Stegostoma tigrinum: one gene and its partner. The protein of the gene in region 2 purifies or fractionates together with the protein of the main gene of each other region. This does not show direct contact. Links are inferred from orthologs where the notes say so. Each region holds a gene or a part of one and is shown on either strand. Other genes may lie near its edges.

Region 1 (12,491 bases), on a different chromosome or scaffold from region 2:
ATTCTACAAGCTGTATCAGTTTGATAATTCCTTCATTTTCCAACCTCTACTTTTGCATGCAAGGCAGAAGGCACTGGGCAGGCCTTGCAGAATTGAGGAGTTATTTCTTAAATCAACACGTAAGGTGGACTTGGCTCCTTTGGTACTCCTTGGACCTTCCGAAAAAGCTTCTGGGTATTTAATCAGGCAGCCAGTGTTTAGTTGAAAAAATGTCAAGCAGATCAAGTTGAGCCTTTTACTTCTGCTTTAGTAACCGAACCAGCCGCTTCTCATAAGAGACGAGAACCAAAGTTGCACCCTTAATCTTAGGGGTTTCCTGGTATAGATTCTCAGCCTGACCAAGGTCTTAAGCAGATTTAAGGATTGGAGTCTGTAATGAATTTGGTTAAAGACTGGTTCCACAATCACTGATACAACCACCCCAGTATCAAACTCTATTAGAACTAAGTGACCATCTAACTGAACATTTATTTTGATTAGTTCTGATTTGGATGTTGCTAAGTAATTTAACTGTTCCAAACCATCTGTAGGTGGACTTCCCCAGGGTGTGCACTCTCCTGCACATCGGCCTATGATAATGGAATAGTGTAGGTGATGGGCTTCAGATTGGTTTCACAGGTTGGCACAGCATCGAGGGCCAAAGGGCTTGTACTGTAATGTTCTATGTGCTCTCTTAATTCAGACCCAGTGGGGGTCGCTTGCTATTTCGAGTCTGCATGCTGGCAGCAACTATACAATGGTCTGCTGACCCCATCTAGGCCTGAAACAGCAGGCTTCCTGCTCCTCTGATGCTGTGCGGCCTGCTGTGTTCCTCCAGCTCTACACCTCGTTATCTCAGATCCTCCAGCATCTGCAGTTCCTAATATCTCCATCCTTGAGAAACTTGTGTTTTGCAGAAGCTTGGCTTTGTTTTGGAGTTTTGCTGTAGACTGACCTAATGTCCTCTTCAGGATATGACCCAGAGAGACAATGCAATTGCCTTCATTCAAGTAGCACTCCCCAAGCTCAGGTGGCCTGGCAAGGGCGTTCACTTCTGTCAGTAAACCCTGTCACTCATAAGTTCCACAAGCCACATTATCTCACGTCAAAGCCAGTTGTAGTGTAAATTTGAAGTCCAGTTGGGGCCTTCAGCTAGTAGCCATTTTTGCATAGCCACATAATTAATCCCACATACCAAATGGTCTTGCAGCAATTCACATAAGCTTAAACCAAAAATAATGCTTCTACTAACTGCCTTAACCTCATCAAAAATCGGTTACAGATTCTCCTTGTTCTTGAACTGGTGAGTAAAACCGATAGCATCTCAGAAGCAAAGGCATCTTGGGATTGTAATATTCCTTAGATAAATCCATCAACTCTTGAAAGTTTTAAGTATCTGGTGCCTCAGGGACACTCAGGCTGCTATTAACCAAAAAAACTGCAGGTCCACAGGCAGTCAGAAGAATTTCTCAATGCTTTTGATCCACCCCAATGTCATTTGCATTGAAAATATAAACACATTCTTTCCACATATTGGGTTTAGTCTTTAACAGCAGGATCGAACAAAATCAAGCTTCCCAAAGAGCTGCAGGAGGCCAGAAATGCTGACCTCACATCAAAGATGGCTGCTAGGCACAAATTTCTTCAAGGGCATGGTTTTCTTTTGTCACCACTGAAATAACCCGAAGGCGGCCAGTATCCCATCATCAAGTCACCCTTTATTTGCACGCAAATAGTACATGGCACTGACCCAGCTAGTTTAGAGTTGGCTCGAGTGAACAGAACCTCTGACACTCCTGTTTGTATCTATCAGGACTCTGATTAGACCAGATTAAAAAGTTCATTTAGGAAACTCACAGGTTCCACCTGGCTGATTGCATTCCAATAATTACAGGCAGGTTGAGGTTAGAAGGCTGTTAAAAAAGCATACAGTATATTAGCTTACTGAACAGCATGGGACATTGCAAAACAAGGAAGTTATACTAAACATTTATGAATCACTAGTTAGATACCAGCTGGATTATTATGTCCACTTTAGAAACAATGTCAAAGTCTCAGACGGATCACAGAGGAAATTTGGTAGAATGGAACCCAGGATGCAATGCTTCAGTTACATGGAAAGACTAAAGAAGCTGGAGTTGTCCTCCTTTAAGCAGAGAAATTTTAGGATTATCCAATTGAGATATTCATAAATCAGAGTTTTGACAAATAAAGGAGAAACCAATTCTAGCGGCAACAAGGTAACGAGTTTTACAACTAGACAGTGTTGTGAGGAAACCGTTTTTACACTGTGATTTACAATGTAGAATGTGTTGCTCAGAAGGGTGATGGGAGCAGATTCAATAATTGCTTTCACAAGAGTATCAAATACTTCAATTTGAACCATCTGCAAGTTGTGGGAGAAGGCAAGCACTTCCAAGCCTATGTAGGCATAGGCTGAATGACATCCACTCATGCTATATCTTTTTGTGATTCTGTAATCAAACATAATATCATATACTTGTTTAATGACGCACATAAGCAGATCTGTTCAAGTAATTACATGTTTTTAAACATTGTTTATGATAATATGTTGCACTCAAGTGAATCCCTGAATGGTCATAATTGCCTTACACTGTTCATCATGACCTCAGCTGCCACAAGAATCAGATTTGGATTTCTGGAAAAACTCTTAAAAATTGCTTTTAAAAAAGGGCAATGTCTTAAGTGGACGTGATGTGGTGAGAATTTCTCTGAACTAACTGAATGAGTTAAAGATAATCCATATTATAACAAACCTGAACATAGACAGATAGCATTTTGACTCAAAAAGCAGAGAAATTTAAAAAGGAGTTCAAATTTTACAAATTGTATAAGTGTAAGTGATTTTCCAATAACTGTTACACTACCACAATACCATGGATTCTACCCTGTTTACACAGTAGGGAATTCATTAAATATGTATCAGTGACTTACAAATTTTTAGTAATTCTTAAAAAAGGACAAACATTAAAGCTACATATGGCTACTAACGTGCAGGCCCTGCAATACACATAGCTATTAGCTATTATCATGTATATCTAAATACTGAAGCAGCTTTGTCCAGGTGTATTTTCAGCCTTTTCTTGATTGGTATAAACTATATGGCACAGATGTAATATTTTCTGATAATATTAGAAAGTTAATGTCGATATGGGAAAATTACTAAATCATTAAGAAACCATTCAGACGTAGGGAGAATGTGTGGAATTTGCACATTCTCCCCATGTCTGTGTGGGTTTCCTCCAGTGCTCTGGCTTCCTCCCACAGTCCAAAGGTTTGTGGGTTAGATGAATTGGCCATACTAAAGTTACCCATAGTATCCAGGGATGTGCAGGCTAGGTAGATTAACCATGAGAAATGCAGGGTTTCAGGGGCATGGTAGGAAGGTGGTCTGGATGGGATGACCCTCAGAGGGTCGATGTTGACTTGGTGGATTGAATGGCTTTTCACACTGTAGGGATTCTATGATGCACCACCAAGGCACTAAGTCTGAAGAACATTACATCTATAAAATGCACTACACCAACTTATCAAGGCTTCTTTTTCAGTACTTCCCAAACCTTTGCTCTCCATCACCCATGCAGAAAAGGGCGGCTAGGACATCAGAGCTCTAACACCCCCAAGATTCTTCCCAAGTCACACACCATCCTGATTTGGACATTTATCTCTGTTCTTTCAATGCCACCTGCTCAAATTTCATTAAGTTTCTACCCACTAGTACCATAAGTATCATAGAACATACAGCCTGTATTGTGCTGTACAGTTCTTCAGCCCTCGATGTTGTGCTGACATTTTACCCTAAACCTAAGGTCTAACTGACCTCTACCCCAACCTTATGCTATCATCCACATGCCTATCTAATAGCTGCTTAAATGCCCCTAATAAGGCCAACTCCACTAGCCTTTCCAGCAATACATTCCACGCCCCTACCACACTGAGTAATGAACTTACCTTTGACATCTACCCTATTTCTACCTCCATTCACTTCAAAAATTATGCCCCCTCATAATAGCTACCTCCACCCTAGGAAAAAAATCTCTGGCTACCACTATCTATACCTCTGATCATTTTGAACACTTCTACCAAGTCGCCGCTCATACTTCATCATTCTAAAGAGAAAAGCCCAAGCTCTCTCAACCTTTCCTAATAAGACCTTGCCTCCATTCCAGGTAACATCCTGGTAAATCTCCTCTGCACCTTTTCCAAAACTTTCACATCTTTACTATAAGGTGGTGACCAAAACTGGACACACTACTCCAGTTGTGACCGAACCAGGGTTCTGTAGAGCTGGAGCATAACTTCACAGCTTTTGAACTCAATCCCTCTATTAATGGAAGTTAGCACACCATTCTCAACAACTCTATCCACCTTGGTGGCAACTTTCAGGGAATTGTGGACATGAACCCCAAGATCCCTCTGCTCCTCCAGACTACCAAGAATCTTTCCATTAACCCTGTACTCTGCTTTCAAGTTTGTCCTTACAAAACAAATTGCCTCTCACTTTTCAGGGCTAAACTCCATCTGCCACTTCTCAGCCCAGCTCTACATCCTATCAATGTACCTTTGTAAACAAGAACAGCCCTCCGCAGTATCCACAACTCAACCCACCTCGTATGGTCCGTGAACTTACTAATCTACCCTACCACTGCTACATCTAAATCAATCATTTACAAAAATCACTAGTAGAAGAGGACCCAGATCCTTGAGGTACACCACTCCTAACTGAGCACCATGTTGAATATTTTCCATCTACTGCCACCCTTTGTCTTCTGAGAGTCAGCCAATTCTGAATCCATTCTGCCATATTTCCCCCATCCCATGCCTCATTGCTTTCTCCATGAACCTACCATGGGGAGCCTTATCAATTGCCTTACTTAAATCCATAATACCACATCCACTGCTCTCCTTCATCCATGTGTTTGTTCACCTCTTTGAAGAATTCAATAAAGTTTGAGAGGCACGATCTACCCCTCACAAATCCGTGCTGACTATCACAAATCAAACTGTTCCTATCCAAGTGATCATAAATCCTCTCTCTGAGTTGTTTCCAATAACTTGCCACACCACTGACACAAGACTAACTGGTCAGTAATTTTCAGGGTTATCCCTATTCCTTTTTTTGAACAAGGGAGTGACGTTTGCCACTTTCCAATTTTCCAGCACTGGACAGTGAGGACGAAAAAAAAATCAAAGGCCCTTCGCACGTTTAGGTGCATGGGTCAAAATGAGGGTCTTAGCCACTGACTCACAGACATTTAGAAGTCGGCACTAAATCAGGTCACATGTGAATACATAAAAAAAGACTGATTAGCAAATAATGTCAACAGGCTGTTGGGGGGGGGGGGGGTAGGGGGAAATTGAACTATGTAAGGAAGCACCTCCATTCTAACAAACATTCACTGGTATCGGTACGTATGGAGGGAATGTTGGCAAACAAACAGCTGAGACAAGCACTGCGTTCTCACAGAGGTAACCTGGACTCTCGATGTCGATAGACAGAATAAAAGCAAAGAATAGCAAAATGTCAGTTGAAAGGAGTTATGCAAATTACTGATGAAGATCACGTTTTTCTCCACCCTGACAATTTAACGATGAAACCATTAAAGACTTTCACCAAACTATGTAATCCCTAAAAATGTACACGTCCACACTAATTCCAAAATCAAGCATTCTACTTCCATACCTCCCAGTCCACATGCTGACATCGGGCATAACAAAAATTAGTTTTGGATTTGACAGCCAGAATAAGCGGGAGGCCGGGATGATCTGACAAAAATAAAAAAAAACGAAAGAATCGCGGATGTGGTAAATCACAAGCAAAAACAAAATTGCTGGAAAAACTCAGCAGGTCTGGCAGTAACTGTGAAGAGAAATCAGAGTTAACATTTCAGGTCTAGTGACCCTTCCTCAGAATATCAGATCTGATGTTCTCTGATTTCTCTGCGCAGATGTTGCCAGGCCTGCTGAGCTTTCCCAGCAATTTCTGACTTTTTTTAGATCTGACATAAACCCTAGGGACTGCGGCTGGTCCCTGCCTAACACTCTGCAAGAAACCAGAGTGAAAAACTATCCCAGGCCTAACGCAGGCTGGCCCTGATAAATAACACGCCCCGCTTTCACACTTATGTTGCGATACAAATATCAAAATTAAAGTAGAATCACCACCATCAGTAAACGCCCACTCGCCTTTCCGACACCTACATCTCCAATTCCAACAATAGCAAGGCTGCTTGAACATACTGTTGGATTCCACCAAACCGAGGAGAAGCTATTCTAAAACTGCATCAAGTCTCTGTTCATACCAAATATTACTGTATTTGACAATAATTCCATATTTCGATGGAGCAGTGGGGGTGTGGGAAATAGAGGGCGGCAGCTTCATCGTTACAAGGAAGGAGCGACCACCCCAAATTTAACAATGACTGCACTAAAGCCAGCAATGAGGCAAGTACCTTCATGACAGTCGCTCGGTTCCACGTCCTGAAACTACAGCAACATGTCCGACCTCTCGGTGCCAGAGGCTCAAGAGCTCGACCACAGTCCGAAAAACCGTCACCCGTTCCGCCGCGGCTGCGCACAACCGACAGCCGAAAAGGGGGCGGGCCGATATGGCCTAACTGACATCAATATTAGCCAATCAGAAGGGTAAGGTCATGCCCACCATGAGACAACTATAATAAAACGATGGACGATTCAGTCCAGGCGGGGGTGATTAGGATGGAACGAACGAGGTTAGAAGTGCTTTGATTGAGCTTTTTCCTCAACTAAATTCAAATTTTACCATCTACCATGATACAATTCAAATCACATTCCCGGAAATATGAGCCAAGGGTTCTGGATTTGTGCTCCAATTACATTACCGCAATGTCACTGCCTCGCTTTCCATAACCTCACATTATACTCGGTTTATTCAACTATTTTGTTGTCTAATAATCTGTCCACAGCAATTAGCAGTTCCTGTGTCTCCCTCGCATCTTGCATTCCCACCCAGCTTTGTTTCATTACCAAACCTGCGCATATTACCCTCTCTCTTCGTCTAAATCACTAAGATTGTAAATTACACGGGAAAATGCCCCAGTTATCCCATCTGTAGCAAAAAAAAGTTTCGTGGTTTATACGTTTTAGAATATAAACTTCAGTAATAAAGGGGTTATCTGATTGTGAAGCAAATATAATTAAAAACAGTAGATCACATAAGTTATAATGAAAAACAATGGGTAGCCTACTTCTTGGCCACTTGGTAGAGCCAGATTTTTTTTATCATCACTGTAAAAGCTAGACATTGAAACTATTTATTTGGGCAGCAAAATCAATGTATAGTTAAGATAAAATAATTTGATTTTTTAAAAGCTTTATTTATTTATTACTATGTCTTGTTACAAAATATAGTGAAAAGCAGTGTTCACTGATGTTGCCACTCCTAAGCACCATCTTAAATCCCAGAAAAACAAACCAAAAACAGAGAATATCATGGGAGAAAAATGAAGAAATAAAGAAAATGTTCAACTTTATAGTCCTTCTTGTTAAGTGCTCTGTTTGGGCCCTGGCCCTGGTGGCCAGGCATAAGTCCCCTTCACCGCCCACAAGAACAAAATTTGCCACTCTTTGGCCACCGATGCCCTCACCACGAGTCCTCACTAGATCTCACTGATGCAGATGCCCCAATGCTGCTGAGTACTGAACTGGCCCAAACTTAATTTCGCCACTCTAGGCCCACCTCTGTCACCGCCTCCATGCCCTTCTATTTGAAATGTGTTTTTTAAACAAAGGGCAATCATATTTAATCAATCTATTATATCATGCTCTGTGGATAAAAGCAAACCTTTAGACATACTATACTTGGCTTTCCAGAATACATTTGATAAAGGTGCTACATCAAAAGTTATTGGGAAACATGCAAGGTCATGATAGAGGAGGCAATAGATTAGCACAGATACAAGACAGGCTGGTTGGTAGAAATAAAAGCATGCACAAAAGAGTCTTTATTTGTTTGGCAGGATGTGATGAGTGGAGTCATTCAGGAGTCTGTGCTAGGGTCTAAACTTGTTGCAATTTATGATGACTTAATGAGGAGAAAAGCATGGTATCTAAAGTCATTGATGTCACCAAAATAGTGAAGTATGTTGTGAAATAACGTGCAGACATAAGGTAAGTAAATGGACAAAAAAAGGAATAAAGTATGGGAAAATGTGAAGTTGTTCATTTCAGCAGGAAAAATAAAAACTTCTATGTTCTATGTTCTAAATAGAGGATGACTGCACAATTCCAAGCAAAAGAACTTGAGTGTTCTGCTGCACTTGTCACAAAAATACCAGTATGCAGATACAGCACATTATCAAGATTACTGGAATGCTACCCTTTTTTACAAGGCAATTTTAACATCAATTTTAACATAAAAAGATGATATGCTTCAGTTTTACTCAGCATTGATGTGACCACTCTAGAATACAGTTTGTTCAAGGAACAAAGAACAAAATAGCACAGGAACACTCCCTTCGGCCTTCCAAGCCTGCGCTGCCATATTTTGCCCTTCCATACCAAAACAGTCTTCATTTACAACATCTGTATCCCTCTATTACCTTCCTATTCATGTATTCGTCCTGGTGCTTCTTGAATACTGCTATTATGGTGGTCTGCTTCCACCACTCTCTCTGGCAACATGATCCAGGCACTTACCACCCTTTGTGTGAAAAATTACCTTGCACATCTCTTTTAAACTTACCCACTCGCACCTTGAATCTGTGTCCCCTAGTAATTGACCTCTCCACTCTGGGAAAATGCCTCATACTTTCCACTCTATCCACGCCATTCATAATCTTATAAACTTCTATTCAGTCACCCCTCAATCTCCTGGGTTCCAGTGAAAACAGACCCAGTCTAGCCAAGCTTTCTTCATAGCTAAAATCACCCAAAGCAGGCAACATCCTGGCAAACCTTTACTGTACCCTCTCCAAAACATCCACATCCTTCTGGTAGTATCGTGACCAGAACTGTACACAATTGTAGTTTTGGTCACCTTTGATTGGAATGAGTGGGTTGCCTTAAGAGGGTATATTAGCCAGGCCAGGCTTATTTCCAATGGAATTTAGAAGAGTGAGGGGTGACTTGACTTTAGTGTTATGTACGAGAACAGTTTTAACAAGGTGGATTTGTTTATATTATTTCTTTTTGTGGGTCTATCCGGAACTCGGGCGCATGGTTTAAAATTAGGGTTTGATCTTTCAGAACAGGCATGTGCCTTTTTTCTCCCCATGAGAATTGAGAGACTTTGGAACTATTTACCTCATAAGGCAGTGGAGGCTGGGATTATTAAATTTTTTAAGACAGGTAGTTGGATTCTGGATTCTTGCAGGGTAGTAGAATCGAGGGTTATTGGGATTTGGGAGGAAGGGAAAAGATGGGAATGTAGAATATGAAGCACAAACAGATCAGCCATGATCACATTGAATGTTGGAGCAGATTCAAAGTGCAAAATGGTTTACTTCTGTATTGATTTAATGTTTATACCATTCCAAAGCATGCCTGTTGCCTAAGGATAGGGGAGGGTTGGAAGTTCTTAGCTACATAGTTGCTGACAGAAACAATCAATTGATTTCGGGAACTGATAGTGATAGATGTTGCTTTGCTTTGGTCATCTCACCAGATTTATTGAGCCAATAAAAGATAGTGGTCAGTTTGGTTTGCACTCAAGTCTCTACCATGTTGTCATTCTCCATGATAATCACTCCTGTCTCTGCCTCTAAAGGACCAGAATTTAATTCTGTTTCTAAGGTTCTCATACTTATTTTAGCTCATCCTTTCCATTCTGTATACTTGCAAAAGTGAGAGTCATAGAGCAGACTTGTTCAACAGAGAGCCCACAGAGCTCACTGTGGCCTGCTAAGCGATTCTTAGAGATAGTAGGATGGACATGTCATCCAAGGAGTGGGAGGGAGAGTTGAAGTGGTTCATTACTGGCAGGTGCAGTCGTTTGTAGCAAACTGAGCGTAGGTGCAGTCATTTGTCGCGAATCGAGCGTAGGTTTGTAACAAATGACTGGACCTCCCAGTTGTGAACCACTTCAACTCCCCCTCCCACTCCTTGGATGCCATGTCCATCCTGGGCCTCCTCCAGTGCCACAATGATGCCACCCACAGGTTGCAGAAATAGCACCCATATTTCGCTTGGGAACCCTGCAGCCCAATGGTATCAATGGGGACTTCACAAGCTTCAAAACTTCCCCTCCCCGACTGCATCCCAAAACCAGCACTGCTCGTCCCCGTATCCCTAACCTGTCTGTCCTTCCTCCCACCTCAACCCCCACCTCCTACCTACCAGCCTCATCCCTGCCTCCTTGATTTGTCAGTCTTCCCTGGACTGACCAATCCCCACCTACACTCATCTCTACTGGCTCCATCCCAGCCTCCTTGACCTGTCAGTCTCCTCTCCACCTATCTTCTCCTGTATCCATCCTCCATCCACCACCCCCCGCCATCTGTATTTCAGAATCCCCTTCCCCTCTCCCCTTTCTGAAGAAGGGTCCCAGACCCGAAACGTCAGCTTTCCTCCTTCTGATGCTGCTTGGCCTGCTGTGTTCATCCAGCTCTACACCTTGTTACAAGTGATTCTTACAACCGGTTTAATATTCCTAGATCTCATATTCCTTTTATCTGATACATCTTTAATAAACTTGTTGGTAGTCTTTCGCAATTTTCCAAAACATCCAGTCCTCAGGTTTAATACTACTTTGTAAGAGAAGCCTCCAGCCTCTTTTTACCTGATATTGTTTAACCTTCTCAGTAAGCCACAGCCAAATCTTTCCTGCTGAACTTTTGACTTATATGGTATACGATTTGTGGACTATTTTGAATTTTTTTTAACTATCTCACACATTTTATTACCACACCCTCAAAATATATTTTCCTCCAAACTCTCCCCTTAATATTAAATTTAAGACTTTTGTTTGTGATGTGTCATTTGTAAACTTAATAAGAAATTGAATATTATGATCACCACTTCCCAATGGATCTTTGAAGAATGACATTAATAATTACCCTCACCTCATTGCACAATGCTATATTTAAAATAACTCCATCCATAGTTGGTTCCACTCATTGCTCCAAGGATCTGTTGCAAATGTATTCTTGCATCTTCCGGACCATCTTTGCCAATTTGATTGGCCCAGTCCAGTCTAAGGTTAAAAGCATTAAAGTCTGCCTCAACAATGACATTGTCTTTAAACAAGTAGTTACTGTAACTTATCACACTACTCTGTTGAGCTGTGTAATTACTTAGGAGGCCTATAAACTCTCATCCATATTTTCTGAACTTCACTATTCCTAGTCATAAACCATGTTAATTCTATTTCCTGGACCAATAATACTCATTATTTTGATAACATGAATATATGCTCATAAAACTGAATGAATTTTTAAAACAAAATACAACAGAGCATGCACTGGTGAACTGTAAATGCAACTTGAAAGTTGAAAAAAACCCATTTGGAAAAATGTGAAAATTTGGAATGCCTTTAGCGGGTGGTTAAGTGTCAAAACAGCAAACTGGAGCTTGCATTCAATAAATCTGAAGAGCATGCTGATTATTGTGTATCAAGGATTGTGTGCAGCTTGTGATTGCAATGCTCTGGTCAAAGGCACAAATGTGCACTGCATCTCCAGTGGCAAAGATGTCGAGAAAACAACGGTTAAAAATCAATATCGGAGTGTCACATTGATGATGATGATATTGGGACTTGGCTTGAAAACCAACCATTCGGGATCCTTCATCGAGCTGAGAAGAAGGATATTCAAGCCAGGCCAAGAATTTCTAGACAGTGGGAAGCCAAGATGTATGGGAACACAGAAGTGGGATTTCCAGTAAGGATGTCAGAAAGGAGAAATCTGCTGACCATAGGTAGAGACCAGAATCTAAGTAAGTTGAAAATATTTTGAATTATAGCCATATCAACATTTGAGCTTGAAATCACTGAAGAACAAAATTTGTTGTATAGATAGTTCTCCTAAATCGTGACAGTTGCGTTCCTGCGTAGAAAATTGCCATAGAAAAATCATTATAGAAAATCATTATACATATACAACAGAAAGTTTGCATTATCCAAAATGTCCACTATTCGTAAATTGCATTACAGCCAATTCACGTTAACGAAACATGCGTTATAGCAAAACTACCTGTACAGGGTTACACAGGTACAACAATTGTTGGCCTCCTGTAACTTCTTTAATATTTCAATGTATGGATAAGAGATGATTCTGTAACTTCAGTGAAGAGAATTTGGGAATTAAACAAATGGAGAAGTGTGTATATACAATCTTGGTAGGCTTAACAATTTACGGATGTTTCCGGTATTGCTGAGCTAAGAATAAGAAGAACCCTTGATTGTTTCGTGTTTCTTTACATATGAGTAGCACCAATTTCAACATCATAATAACATTTGAATCGTAAAGAAGGTAAGTGTATAAGTGGCATTGTGGATTTGCAACAGTGATATCCTC
Region 2 (12,882 bases):
CAGACTGGTGTACATGCACACCAAGGTCCCTCTGATCCTCAGTGCTTCTCAGGGACTGACCATTCATAATTTATTCCCTTGCCTTGTTTGTCCTGCCCAAATGCATCACCTCACATTTCATAGATTCATTTATCAATTGAGTTCTATTTACCACTGAATTTCGTTCACCCCATCTGACTGACCTGTCTATATCATCCTGTAATTTATGGCTACCCTCCTAGCTATTTACCACCCTACTAATTTTCATATAACCCACAAACTTACTGATTAATCACCCTCCGTTCAAGCTTACATCATTAGTGACAGGAATGAGCAATTTCAGTAATTTTTTTTATTCTTTAATGAGATGTAGTCATTTCTGGGTGGACTAGCATTCATTGCCCATCCCTAATTGAGTTGAGAGTTAGCCACTTTGGCTGTGGGTCTGGTGTCACATGCAAACCAGACCAGATGAGGATGGCAGATTTCTTCCCTAAAGGGCATTAGTGAACCAGATGGTTTTTCCTGAAAATCACCAATGGTTTCATGACCATCATTAAACTCTTAATTCTAGATTATTATTGAATTCAAATTCCAGCATCTACCACGTTGGGATTTGAACCCTGTTCCCAGAAGGTTTCCTGGGTCTCTGGATTAATAGCCTTGCGATACTATCACAGGGCTGTCAATCAGGAGAGATTGAAGTAATTAGGTTCGTTCTCCTTGGAGAGAAGAAAGCTGAGAGAAGATCTGATCGAGGTTTTCAAAATCGTGAATGGACTGGACGGAGTTGTTAGGGAGAGTTGCTGCTACTCAGAAGAGGAACAGGAATGAGAAAGCATAGATTCAAAGTGATGTGCAAATGAAGCAAGGGTTATATGAGAAAAGACTTTCTCACACAGCAAGTAGTTAGGGTCTGGAATGCATGACCTGGAAATGTGGTGGAGACAGCTTCAACTGAAGCATTCGAGAGGGGCTTCGGATGATTATTTGAATAGAAATGGTGTTGCAATCTGGGGAAGAGGTGGAAGATTGGCAGTAGGTAATAGGACCTGTGCAGGCACGATGGGTTGAATGGCCTCTTATTTCCCACTCAAAGAATTGGCCCTTAAATCACCTTTAGCAGCAGCCATTGTTCATCTTAAGTTCCCGGACATGATTAATACTGTAATGATGCGCAGGCACAAACCTTTTCTCATTTAGTCTGTGCAAGTACTGACGGTCACAGAATCCTCAAATTCTTTTCCTGTCCCTTTAAGTGGCTTGATGGCCTCTGGAAAGATTGAAACAGCAAGAATTGTATTTTTAATTCATTTCTGCGGTGTAGCTAGGCCAGCATTTATTGACCATTAAAAGTAAAAGTCAACCACATTGCTGTGTTTCTGCAGTCACGTATAGATCAGACCAAGTAGAAAAGAGGGACCCAGGGGTTCAGGTACATAATTCTTTGAAGTTTGCATCAGATATAGACAGGGTGGTCAAAAAGGTGTTTAGCATGCAAGATAACCAGGTGTACAGCTGGATGAACACAGCAGGCCAAGCAGCATCTTAGGAGCAGGAAAGCTGATGTTTCGGGCCTAGTGCATGCTTGCCTTCATTGTTCAGTCCTCTGAAAATAGGTTTTGGGAAGTCATGTTGAGGTTGTACAGCTTCTTCTGGAACACTGTGTCCAGTTCTGGTCGCCTAGTTATAGGAAGAATATTATTAAGCTAGAGAGGGCTCAAAAGAGATCTTCCAAAATATTGCCAGGTATGAGTTATAAAGAAAGGCTGGATAGCCTGGGCCCTAGGAGGTTGGCGGCACGGTGGCTCAGTGGTGAGCACTGCTGCCTCACAGTACCAGGGACCTGGGTTCAATTCCACCATCAAATGACTGTCTGTGTGGAGTTTGCACATACTCCCTGTGTCTGCATGGGTGTCCTTCTGGCTTCCTCCCACAGTTCAAAGATGCGCAGGGTAGGTGGATTGGCTATGCTGTAGTGTCCAGGGATGTTTGGGTTAAGTGGGTAGACATGGGAAAATGCAGAGGTAGGGGAATGGGTCTGGATGGGAAGCTGTTAAGTGGTGGTAGGGGAGTGGCCTGTTTCCACACAGTAGGGATTCTACGATTTGAGAAGTGACCTTCTAGAAGTTTATAAAAAAAAAGTAAGTTGTCCAGATAAGGTTAATGTTAGTTGTCTTTTCCCAGGATGTGGAATTTCAAGACAAAGGGACACATTTTTAAGGTGAGAGGAGAGAGATTTAAAAGAGACATGAGGGGCAAATGTTTAATGCAGAGGATGGTTTATGTGTGGGATGAATTTCTGAGTAAGTGATGGATGAGGGTTCAATTACAATGTTTAAAAGACATTTGGATAAGTATGTGCATAGGAAATATTGGGAGGGATATGGGCCAGGAGCAGACATGCAGGACTAGTTTAGTTTGGTATTATGCTCTGCATGGACTGGTTGAACCAATGGGTCTGTTTGCATGCCGTATGACTCTAAAAAGTGCATGTAAGGACAGCAGATTTTCTTTCCTAAAGGACAAGTAATGAAGCTGATTGATTCTTTTCAATATAGTCACTAATAGGCTTTTAATTACAGATTTTTATTGAATTCACATTTCACCATCTGCCATGGTGGGGTTTGAACCTATACCCTGAGAAAATTAGCTTCTGATTTTAGCTTAATAGTCGAGAGACATTGACATTGCTGACTGCCCTCTGTGCAGTCAAAAGACCCCTGTCACTTCTCCCTTCCATTCTCTTTCCAATTGTATAATGCACACGGTAACACAGTCTCTGCTGCAGTCCCAGAGATCCGCTTCACTAAAAGGATCTATTCAAAAACTGCCAAACAGAAATCGGTTCCTTTGGGGATGACCTTGCTTGTTTTCTATCACATATGTTCTCCATGTCAAGCAGAAATACAGTCAATTCAGAATTGCTGTTGACTTCAGTAGGCTTTTTTAAAAAAAAATGGTGGGCTGTGCTAATTTCTGGCTGGCCAGTCTGTAATTACTATTGAGAAGGTGATAGTGAGCTACTTGCTCCAATCGTTGCAGTATTTGTTCTGCCGAGACGGAGTTCCAGGGTTTAGAAGGAATGGCAGTATATTTCCTAGTCAGGATTATGAGTGACTTAGAGGGGAAATTGCAGATGATGGTCCTCCCAGACAGTAGTGAACATGAGTTTGGAAGGTGTTGGCTGAAGAGCCTTGATGAATATCTGCAATGCATCTTGTCAATTATGCACACTGCTGCTATGAACATCTGTGATGGAGGGAATGGATGTGTGTGCATGTAGTGCCAATCAAGCAGGCTGCTTTGTCCTGGATCAAGCTTCTTAAGTGTTTTTGGAGCTGCACTAAGTCAGGCAACTGGAAAGTATTCCTCCACGCTCCTGACTTGTGCCTGATTGATTGTTTCAAAGGGAAGTTAAAGAGTCAACCACATTGCTACAGGCCTGCACCTGAACTGGTTCCTGTATAAAGGCAACACAGTGTCTAGTTTCAGTTCTGCATGCTCATCGTTCATTCAAGTTTACTCAAGACAGATCCATTCCCTACTCTCTGAAATTGGCCTTACTCCAGTGAAGTATTTTACCCTTGATTTTGTCTTGATCCTCTCTATGCTTAATCAAACTCTTATTATACTGTGACCTCAATGTCCTAAACATACTGCCTACTGACATCTGATCCAATTGAGTCACTTTATTCCCTGGAAACAGATGTTTCAGAGTCTGAATCATAACTGTCATGAAAATTCCACAAACACACGAATGGAACCCTTCCCTGTCTGTGCACTAATAATATTCCAGAATTGGAGAGCCTACGCTGAACACATTGAATCACTAAAGAGGTCCCAGCAGTGTCACCTGCACAAGATCCTCCAAATCCAAGAACAGGAAAGGATGACTAACATCAATACCTACTCCTGCCGTTGAGAGGCCAGTCTTTCAAAACCAGCATCACTGGGCAGTACATGTTACTCGTGAGCCTGACCCCAGATTCCAAATGAGACTGCTCAATTCAAGGCCTCCCTGAAGAGATCAAACATCCCCTGATGACTCATGGATACCCTAGCTTGTGAACAACCAAAAGGGAGAAGGTTTGCTCTGGAAGATGCCTAAGACATTGGGAGACTCCATTGGAAAGGTGCAGAGCTGAAGATGAGCTGTCAGAGGGAACGGCATAAACGCATAATCACCCATCAACCCAACCTTCTAAATGCAGCAGAAGCTGCAGATCAAGCATCAGTCATTTCAGTCATTCCAAAAGCCATCGAACCCTGGCTGGCAACAAGCTAGAAAAACATACAAACCAGGGGCAGGAGCAGGCCATGTGGCCCTTGGAGCCATGTTCATGCCTTTTCCCCATGTCTCTTGTTGCCTTTAAAATCTAAAAAATATCAAAACTGAAAGAACTGCAGATGTTGTAAATCAGAGACAAAAATAGAAATTGCTGGAAAAGCTCAGCAGGTGTGGAGAGAAATCAGATTTAACATTTCAGGTCGAGTGACCCTTCCACAGGAACCCCTCTGAGGAAGGGTCAATCCTTTCCGAAATGTTAACTCTGCTGTCTGTCTACAGATGCTGCCAGACCTGCTGAGCTTTTCCAGCAGTTTCTATTTTTGCCTCTTAAAAAAACAAACTTTTTTGAATATATTAATTTCAAATCGCCCTCATACCTGAGGGGTTGTCAGAGGATAAGGAGACGGAGAAGATCCCAGGCTATATTAGGACAGAGTGGACTACAGAAAACCTCTAAGAGCACTCAACATGTGGCTTGACTGGGAGTTAATACTATCATATGATCCCTGCCCAACCTGCTGCATTCCATTACACAGACTCTTGACATGATCTGATATCTCTTTAAGATTGTTAATACTCTGAAAGCACTTCACAACCACTTCTTTTTACAACACAGAATGGCATGGGTTTGATCATTTACTTACCAGCCAGTTAGCTGAGAATTCAGGGCAGGGATGGGAAGCAGTTTGCCTGTCAAGTGTTTCTTCCTCTGAGATCCCTACACTCCTCTTTGCAGCTTATTCATTAAGATGTCGTCTCCATGAGTCTCATTGTTAACAGCGGACCGTCCTTAGGGGAGGCCCTTTCAGCAGCAAGACTGTTTTAAATTCCGTGTGCAACTACCCTCCCCCGTTCCCCTCAACCATGCTCCAGTCTCTTACTCCCTCCTGCTCTGCTCTGCAGCTCATTGTTTGAAGGAGCTTATCCAGCTGTCTCCTCTCCCAAAATAACCCCTGCCATCATGACCCGACAACACCAATAGGAGCTGGACTGGTGGTTGGCAGTGTGTGGATGGTTGAGACCATAGTGGGAGGGGGATGCAGGGAGCAAAGGAGGCCACCATCCATTGACTGGCCAGCCTGCCAAGAGAAAGTTGACTGGTTGGGGGAGTGTGGGGCTGCAGACTAAGTAGGAGGATCAGTGACTGCAAATCCCGTTCAGGAATTCGAAGACCCTTATCTGTGCTGTGGCAGAGATTCAGAATTAGCTGAAGCCAACGAGGTGTTACGTGTCTACGTTTAAGTGACATTACAGAAGGATCTCTGCTGTCTTAGACAAGCAATGTCTGGGAGGGGGTGAGAGTGGATGGTGGAGGGGGATGGTGGGACAGCCGACAGAATTAGAAAGATTGAAACTGCCTTGTCATTTGATACGAAGCAGCTGAACAGAAGTGTGGAAGAGCTAATTGGACTTGGCTCATACACTGCTCCTACGAGTTCGAGCAAGAAAGCGGTCTTTGCATTTATATAGCACCTATCACTATTTTGGAAAGTCTGAATGTGCTTTACAATGATTTAAGTACTCCTGAAGTGCAGTCACTGTTGAAACGTAAGGAATATTGTGATCAGTTTGGACAGAGCAATATTGTAATGGACAGAGCATTTGTGCAGCTTTTTTGGAATTTGAGGGATAACTATTGGCTAGGACACTGGGGACAACTATCCTGCTTTTCTTTAGAGCAGTGCCATCTGCGAGAGCAAGCCTTATGTGCAGCACTCTTTCTGTACTGTGGTAGAAATGTTACAAGCGGGCATACAGCATAGGAGCAGAAATGGATCATTCCACACCTTGAACCTGCTTATCATTCAATAAGATCGTGATTGAACTGTTCGTTTCAAATTCCTCCTTCCCATCCACTCCTTTGATTCCACTGCCAAACACAAAGCTACTCATCTCGGTCTTAAAAATATTAATTGACCCCAAGTTCTAAAGTCACACAACCCTCCAAGAAAAGAAATTCTCCTTGACTCTGAGCTAAAAAGGTGACTCCTAATTTTTAATTAGAACCCCCTAGTTCTGGACTGGCCAGCAAGAGGAAACATCTTTTCCATGTTCACCTGGTAATAACCATTTAGGATCCGATACACCTCAATCAAGTCACTCCTAATTCTTCGGAACGCCAGTGGGAATAAAGCTAGCCTCTGCAACCTTTTATCATAAGACAACCTGCGCATTCTGGGTATCAGACTGGTATACCGCCTCTGACCCTCCAGTGCCACAGCTTGGATTTATGTGCCACAGGCATTTAGCACTGTGTTGATTGTGGAATGTTGCTGTGCAGAAATTGGACTAGCATGTTTCCTGCAACAATGATTGCATATCATTGGCCAGAAGGTGTTTTCGGATGCACTGAGGTTATGTTAATGTGCTATACAAATACAAAGCTTTTTCTCCTAGTTCCACCACGTCTGACACACCTTACCCAAGTCTCACTGCTGTTCTGCACTGTGGATGGTTTGTATCTCCAACCCTCATCTCATTAAATACTGGCAGTGAGGTACCTCTCAGGGAGAGACCCTGCATTTAGATGAAATGTTCCCTCTGCATGTGGTGCAATCCGAGTGACAGTAACGAGTGATTGGAGAATGACATTGAGTTCAGTTCTCTCTATATATAAAGACATTTATCAGCAAAGTGCTGATCCCTCTCATGACGTTAGTTCCCTGGAAATGTCGTTTGGCATTCTGTGGCATTGCTCACTTACTAAAGATTTCTTTAATGTTGCAGCCTCGATATCCAGTCGGGCAACAGCAGTTTCTTTGGGGGAGAACTCAGCCTGTGCAGGGACCAAAATGTGTGCTACCTATAGGATCACACTGCAGTAAGAGATGCATCACATTTCATGCTGGTTAAAAAGCCCAATTGAACGGGAGGACATAAGAAATAGCCACAGAGATAGGTCAAGGCCTCAAGCCTCTTTCCCCATTCAACAAGATCACAGCTGATCTGCCCCGGCCTCAACTACTCTTTTGTGCCATCTCCTCATATCCCTCACTTCCCTGATGTTTCAAGAATCAGTCTACCTCCTCATCAAATACTTTACTTGATCAATTCTCCACCGTTCATTAGGATAGGGAATTTCAGGCATTCACTAGCCTCTGGGAGATAACATGAGGCCATATTTTAAATGCAGCTTTACATGCAAGGATAATAAAATGTGAGGCTGGATGAACACAGCAGGCCAAGCAGCATCTCAGGAGCACAAAAGCTGACGTTTCGGGCCTAGACCCTTCATCAGAGAGGGGGATGGGGGGAGGGAACTGGAATAAATAGGGAGAGAGGGGGAGGCGGACCGAAGATGGAGAGTAAAGAAGATAGGTGGAGAGGGTGTAGGTGGGGAGGTAGGGAGGGGATAGGTCAGTCCAGGGAAGACGGACAGGTCAAAGAGGTGGGATGAGGTTAGTAGGTAGCTGGGGGTGCGGCTTGGGGTGGGAGGAAGGGATGGGTGAGAGGAAGAACCGGTTACATCAGTTGCCATTCCCTTGTTTGGTCACTTCAGAAGTCAGTTGAAGCCACCATGTCACCATAGGATCAGGAGTCACATGTAGGCCGGAGGGTTCCTTGCCTAAAGGGCATTAATGAACCAGATAGGTTTTTACTGCAATGATAGCTTTGTAGACACCATTACTGAGATTATATTTCAATTCAAGCTTAATTTGAATTGGGTTTACCAGTTGAGTGTGGGGTTTGAACCAATTTATCCCAGAGTATTTGACCAGGCTTTTGATTATCACTGGAACATCGCTGCACAATCAAGAATGACAAAAGTCCCAATTTTAAAAAGCAGGAGAGCTTTCCTTGGTGTCCTGGCCAATATTTATCCCTCAATCAACATTGCGGCCCCAACTTTCCCACATTACAAGAGTGACTACTCACAAATACTGCGAGCAGCCGCAAAACACCTTGGGATTTACTGAGGTCATGAAAGGCACTACAGAAATGCAGGTAGTTGTTGTATCAATGTGGGCTAAATCTCACTACACTGCAATCTCCACATTGTATACTGAGGGAATGGTCAAACTCTGACAGGCTTCAGATCCATGGCTAAAAGAGAATCACAGCTTCCCATCCCTCCTGAGAACTCCTTTGGAGGTGTTTTCGCATCAGTGAAGATTTGGTTTGACCTCTCCCTGTCCCTGAGATCAGTCTTTCTTTGAATTTCAGCCATTGGCTGCTGTTTGAGGCCAAAATATGATATTCTACAGCTAGAGTTTTGTGCTTCTGTGAGAAGATAATTCAAATCAGGAGACCCACGTCATTCAGCTAACAACAGTCTTAGAGGCCGTGCCCAATGTCACCAGACTATCAGAGTTCTGATAGTGGCAACTCTGCGCATTCACACTGAAGAGCTCAGTGGGGAGAGAGAGAGAGAGAGAGAGAGAGAGAGAGAGAGAGAGAGAGAGAGACAAAGAGCAGCAGGGTCAGGGGGCAGGTCACCAATCAGCACAATCAGGGTGAATGGCAAGTCTGTCAGCTCGACCTGCCCTCCAAGCAAGCATTTGAGGGTGTGTCTGCTGGGATTGTAGGAGTTTTGAAGATCACACTAAAAGGACATTAGTATCATTCTCTCCTTGTCGAACTGAGTCTCTCCTCGACTCTGTCTGTAATGGTGTATTCTCTTTCTAACTAACCCTATTGTGTTAACTCTGTTCCTCTGAGTGCCTGTTGCTTGTATTGCATTTTCTTCAGTGCCTTTGTGCCTCTTTTGCTTTTTGCCAGTTTCAATCTTTCAGTCTTATCCTCTGTCTGAGTCTCTCAGTCCCTCTCACTCACATTCTCCTCTTGCATCAGTATCTTGTTTTGTCTCATATTCTGTATTGCTGGCTCTTTCTTTCTGTCCACTGTGTTTGTGTCCATCTCTCCTTTTGTCTCTATATGTGGGTGTATCTGTGTGCATGTATCTGTGGGTGACTGTGTCTGTGTGTATATATCTGTCCGTGTGCATTTATCTGTGCATGTGTCTCTGTGCCTGTGTGTGGTGTGAGTCTGTGTCAGTGTGCATTTGTCTTCCTCCCCGGTTACACTGACTCAATTCCACTCTAGCTGTCTGACAATCTATCTGTCTCAAACACTTTGATTTTATTCTTTCGGTCTTCCTGCATTCCTGTTTTTACTGTATCTGTGTTTCTATCTCTGTCATTGGATCCCATTCTCTCATTTACCCTCATCATTCTGTATCTGAATCATTAAATTCCTGCATTGTCTTAGAACCTCCCTCGTAATCGCTTTCAAGTTAGTTATCTTGTTTAGTGTTTATCTTCTACTCTGTGTACGTATCTTATTCATTCTCCCCCTCACTCTGTCCCCCTCTGTCCCAATGTTCCAGCTTCATGCTTCCCACAAACTCCCTGGTGTCCCTTTATTCCTGAGCTTGTTGTGGATGGTGCTACTGATTCTGATGTTCCAGGCCCCAATGCTGGAAAGTGCCTGCTCAATGCACAGCATGAGTGAGGATGCAATCATTGCAAAGGTGCAGGAGAAAATTCTGAGGAGCCTGGGGCTGACTGAACCCCCAGAGAACTGCAATGTAACCAGCCAGGAGCTGCATAATCCGTTCAAAAACCGCAGACTGACACGGCGCATCACCCGCTGGATTGGACATCACAAACCCAAAACGGACAACGATAAATCGGAGGTCATCTCATTCCCCATAACCAGTAAGCTTTCTTTTGGCTTTCATAAAACAAATACGTAAAAATAGTATCATTTTGTATGTCAGGATGATAAATCCTGGCCACACTGTTTCACAATGTCAGCCATACCTAAGGTACTTTTCAACCAATTAAGTACTTTTTGAAGTGTCGTAATACATGCAGTACAACATCCGATTTCTACAGGAAGCTCCCACAGACAGCAGTGTAACGATGACCTGATAGCCAATTTGTAGTGATCATAATAGAACGGAGGCAGTGATATAATGTAATGTCACCAGACATTAGTAAATCAGAACCCCAAACTAAAGGGGTCAAATCCCATAGCAGATGGTGAAATATGAATTCAGTTGAGAGAAGATAGCCTAATGAAAACTATGTACCGTTTAAAAACCCATCAACCGCTTCCCTTTAGTGAACGAAATCTATTGTCCTTACTCCGTCTGGTCTCTATCTGACTCCACATCCACAGCAACATGATTGACTCTCATATGCCTTCTGGGTAATAATTTCCAGGTGTTGTCCATTTCTGTTTAAGTACACATTTTCCCAGGAGACTGGTGTGAACTGCTCCCTGCTCTTCTTGGAAACAGATGCTGTGAAATCCTTTATGGCCTCCACTTAGAAAGTGGATAAGCTTGACATATCATCTGAAAGAAAGTGCCTCCAAACAGTGTGGCAGTCCCTCAGTGCTCCAATGCCAGACTAGATTCTCAGTCTCTAAACGGGATCTTAAGACCACCACTGCTGGAGTGAGAAGTGAGTGGGTTACCCACTGACCTGGGAGCCCATACGCACATAAACAGCACGAGATGTGGTTAAGATAATAGGATTAAGCAGGTGGCACAAAATTTGGGTGTGTGGTTGGGTGGTTTATTTTGAAGACATAATCAAATGAGAACGGGAACTGTCAAACAATGTTTGATATTTGCAATAAACAAGCATGGAAGCAAAACAAGTGAATGCAAATCATTCGGTTTTACACAAGTTTTGGCTATTTTATAACTCATTCCGCTCAATCTTCCCTTCCCCCCCCATACTTTTATTTTCAGACATACCGTGTGATTTACAGTATGAAGGATTCGTGGGCAATTACAGTTACGTCTTTCAGCCATCCCTGCACTCCCGTCGCAGCCAGGTGACCTCTGCTGAGTTCTGGTTTTACGCCGGGGTCCAGTTACCCCCAGGTGCTGACCCCCCCACTAAACTGTACTTCCTCACTGAACCTGGCAGCTTTGCCCAGGCAGCAGAGAGCATGGCAGTTGAAGGACAGTGGGTAATCTTTCATATCTCCCAGTCCTTCCTCTCATATATCTCGCACAAGATACTTTTCCTTCAGGTCAAGTGTGCCAATTGCCAGTGTGTGAGGGACCAAGTGAATGTGCCTTTCATCCTGTCCACAGCGAAGAACTTGGGTCCTTCTCGATCTAGACGCTCAACAGTCCCTTGGTCCCCCGCATATGTCAGTCTCCTTCAGAGGCCACCATCTCCTGAACTTATTCATGACGATTGCCATCGTTCTGCCGTTAACATCTCCTTTGAAGAATTGGGATGGGGCAACTGGATTGTTCAACCCAGTGTCTTCACCTTCTACTACTGCAATGGGACCTGCTCCAACTCCAACCGGCTCACCTCCAGCCTCGGCCTCAAGGTTTGCTGCACCTCAGTCCCAGGGACCATGAAGCCCCTGAGAGTGAGGACAACGTCCGACAGTGGCTACACTTTTAAATACGAGACTATCCCAAACATTATCACCGAAGAATGTGCCTGCATTTAGACTTTGCTTCCTCACCCTCAGCATAATGATAGGGTGGCCTTGGACTCTCAAGGAACTGAAAATTAATCAGAATCCAAAAGACAAATCCAAGGGACAGTAATGAAATAAATAAAGAAGCTGTATCAGTGCATTCATTGTTTATTAATTATGAAAATATTTGAGTTTTGGAAAGAAAGGAATATTTGATGGATAGTTGGTAAACATTTAATCAAATAGCCAACAGTCCATTCACTTTCCATTCTGAAACTAGACATCAGGCCATTCAGCCTATCTAGTCTGCTTTGCCAGTCAATTGGGCCAGGCTGACCAGATCATCCTCAACTCCACTTTACCGCCTTTACCCTATAACCTTAGATTCCATTGCTGTTTGAAAATATGTCTATCTCAGCCTTGACTGTTCTCACTGACGTAGCCTCTAAAGCTCTCTGAGGTATAAAAATGAATCCACAGATTCACTAGCTTCTAAGGGGAGAAATTCTTCTTCATTTCTGTCTTAAATAGGTGAATCCATACACTCAGATTTTGCCCTTTGGTCCTAGAACCTCCTACAAGGGGAAGCAACATCCTCATATTTATCCTGTCAAGTTCTCTAAGAATCTTAGCTGTTTCAATAAGTACCCCTCTCATTCTTCTAAGATCCATTGAATACAGACTGAACCTACTTAACCTGTCCTCATAAGACAGTTGATCCATAACTACCTCCAATGCCTGTATTTTTTCCTCAAATGAAGGGCTCAAAGCTGTTAACAGTTTTCCAGCTAGAGTCTGACTGGTGGCTTTTATAGCTTTAGCACAGTCTCCCTACTTTTATAGAGTCATAGTGACGTACAGCATGCAAACAGCCCCTTTGATCCAACTTGTCCATGCTGACCAGATATTCTACATTAAACTAGTCCCATTTGCTAATATTTGGTCTGTATCCATCTAAACCCTTCATCTCTATTCATATACATGTCCAGGTGCCTTTTAAATATTGTAATTGTATCAGCTTCCACCGCATCATCTAGCAACTCGTTCTATCAAGGCGTCACCTGCTGTGTGAAAACGTTGCCTCTCAGGTCCCTTTTAAATCTTTCCCCCTCACCTTAAACTTACATCCTTTAATATTGAACTCCCCTACCCTGGAAAAAAGACTGGCTATTCACCCTGTCCATGCCCCTCATGATTTTGTAAACTTCTGTAAG

What was found.
Region 1: the proteins of obsl1a (region 2) and calcium/calmodulin-dependent protein kinase kinase 2-like purify together in Homo sapiens (affinity purification with mass spectrometry; 4 studies listed by BioGRID and IntAct, with this or other methods). This does not show direct contact. The link is inferred for Stegostoma tigrinum from reciprocal best matches to the Homo sapiens genes OBSL1 and CAMKK2.

The regions. Positions count from the first base shown.
Region 1 is NC_081379.1:24,720,886-24,733,376, forward strand, and holds the start of calcium/calmodulin-dependent protein kinase kinase 2-like, read right to left. Parts: upstream 6,580-12,491; 5' UTR 6,453-6,579; intron 1,893-6,452; 5' UTR 1,837-1,892; intron 1-1,836. UniProt on the Homo sapiens protein: Calcium/calmodulin-dependent protein kinase belonging to a proposed calcium-triggered signaling cascade involved in a number of cellular processes. Isoform 1, isoform 2 and isoform 3 phosphorylate CAMK1 and CAMK4. Isoform 3 phosphorylates CAMK1D.
Region 2 is NC_081360.1:102,223,162-102,236,043, reverse strand, and holds the start of obsl1a (obscurin-like protein 1a), read right to left. Parts: upstream 5,236-12,882; 5' UTR 4,915-5,235; intron 1,253-4,914; exon of another isoform or gene 1,097-1,252; intron 1-1,096. Other genes in the region: inha (inhibin alpha chain), read left to right, coding at 9,588-9,927, 10,974-11,698. UniProt on the Homo sapiens protein: Core component of the 3M complex, a complex required to regulate microtubule dynamics and genome integrity. It is unclear how the 3M complex regulates microtubules, it could act by controlling the level of a microtubule stabilizer.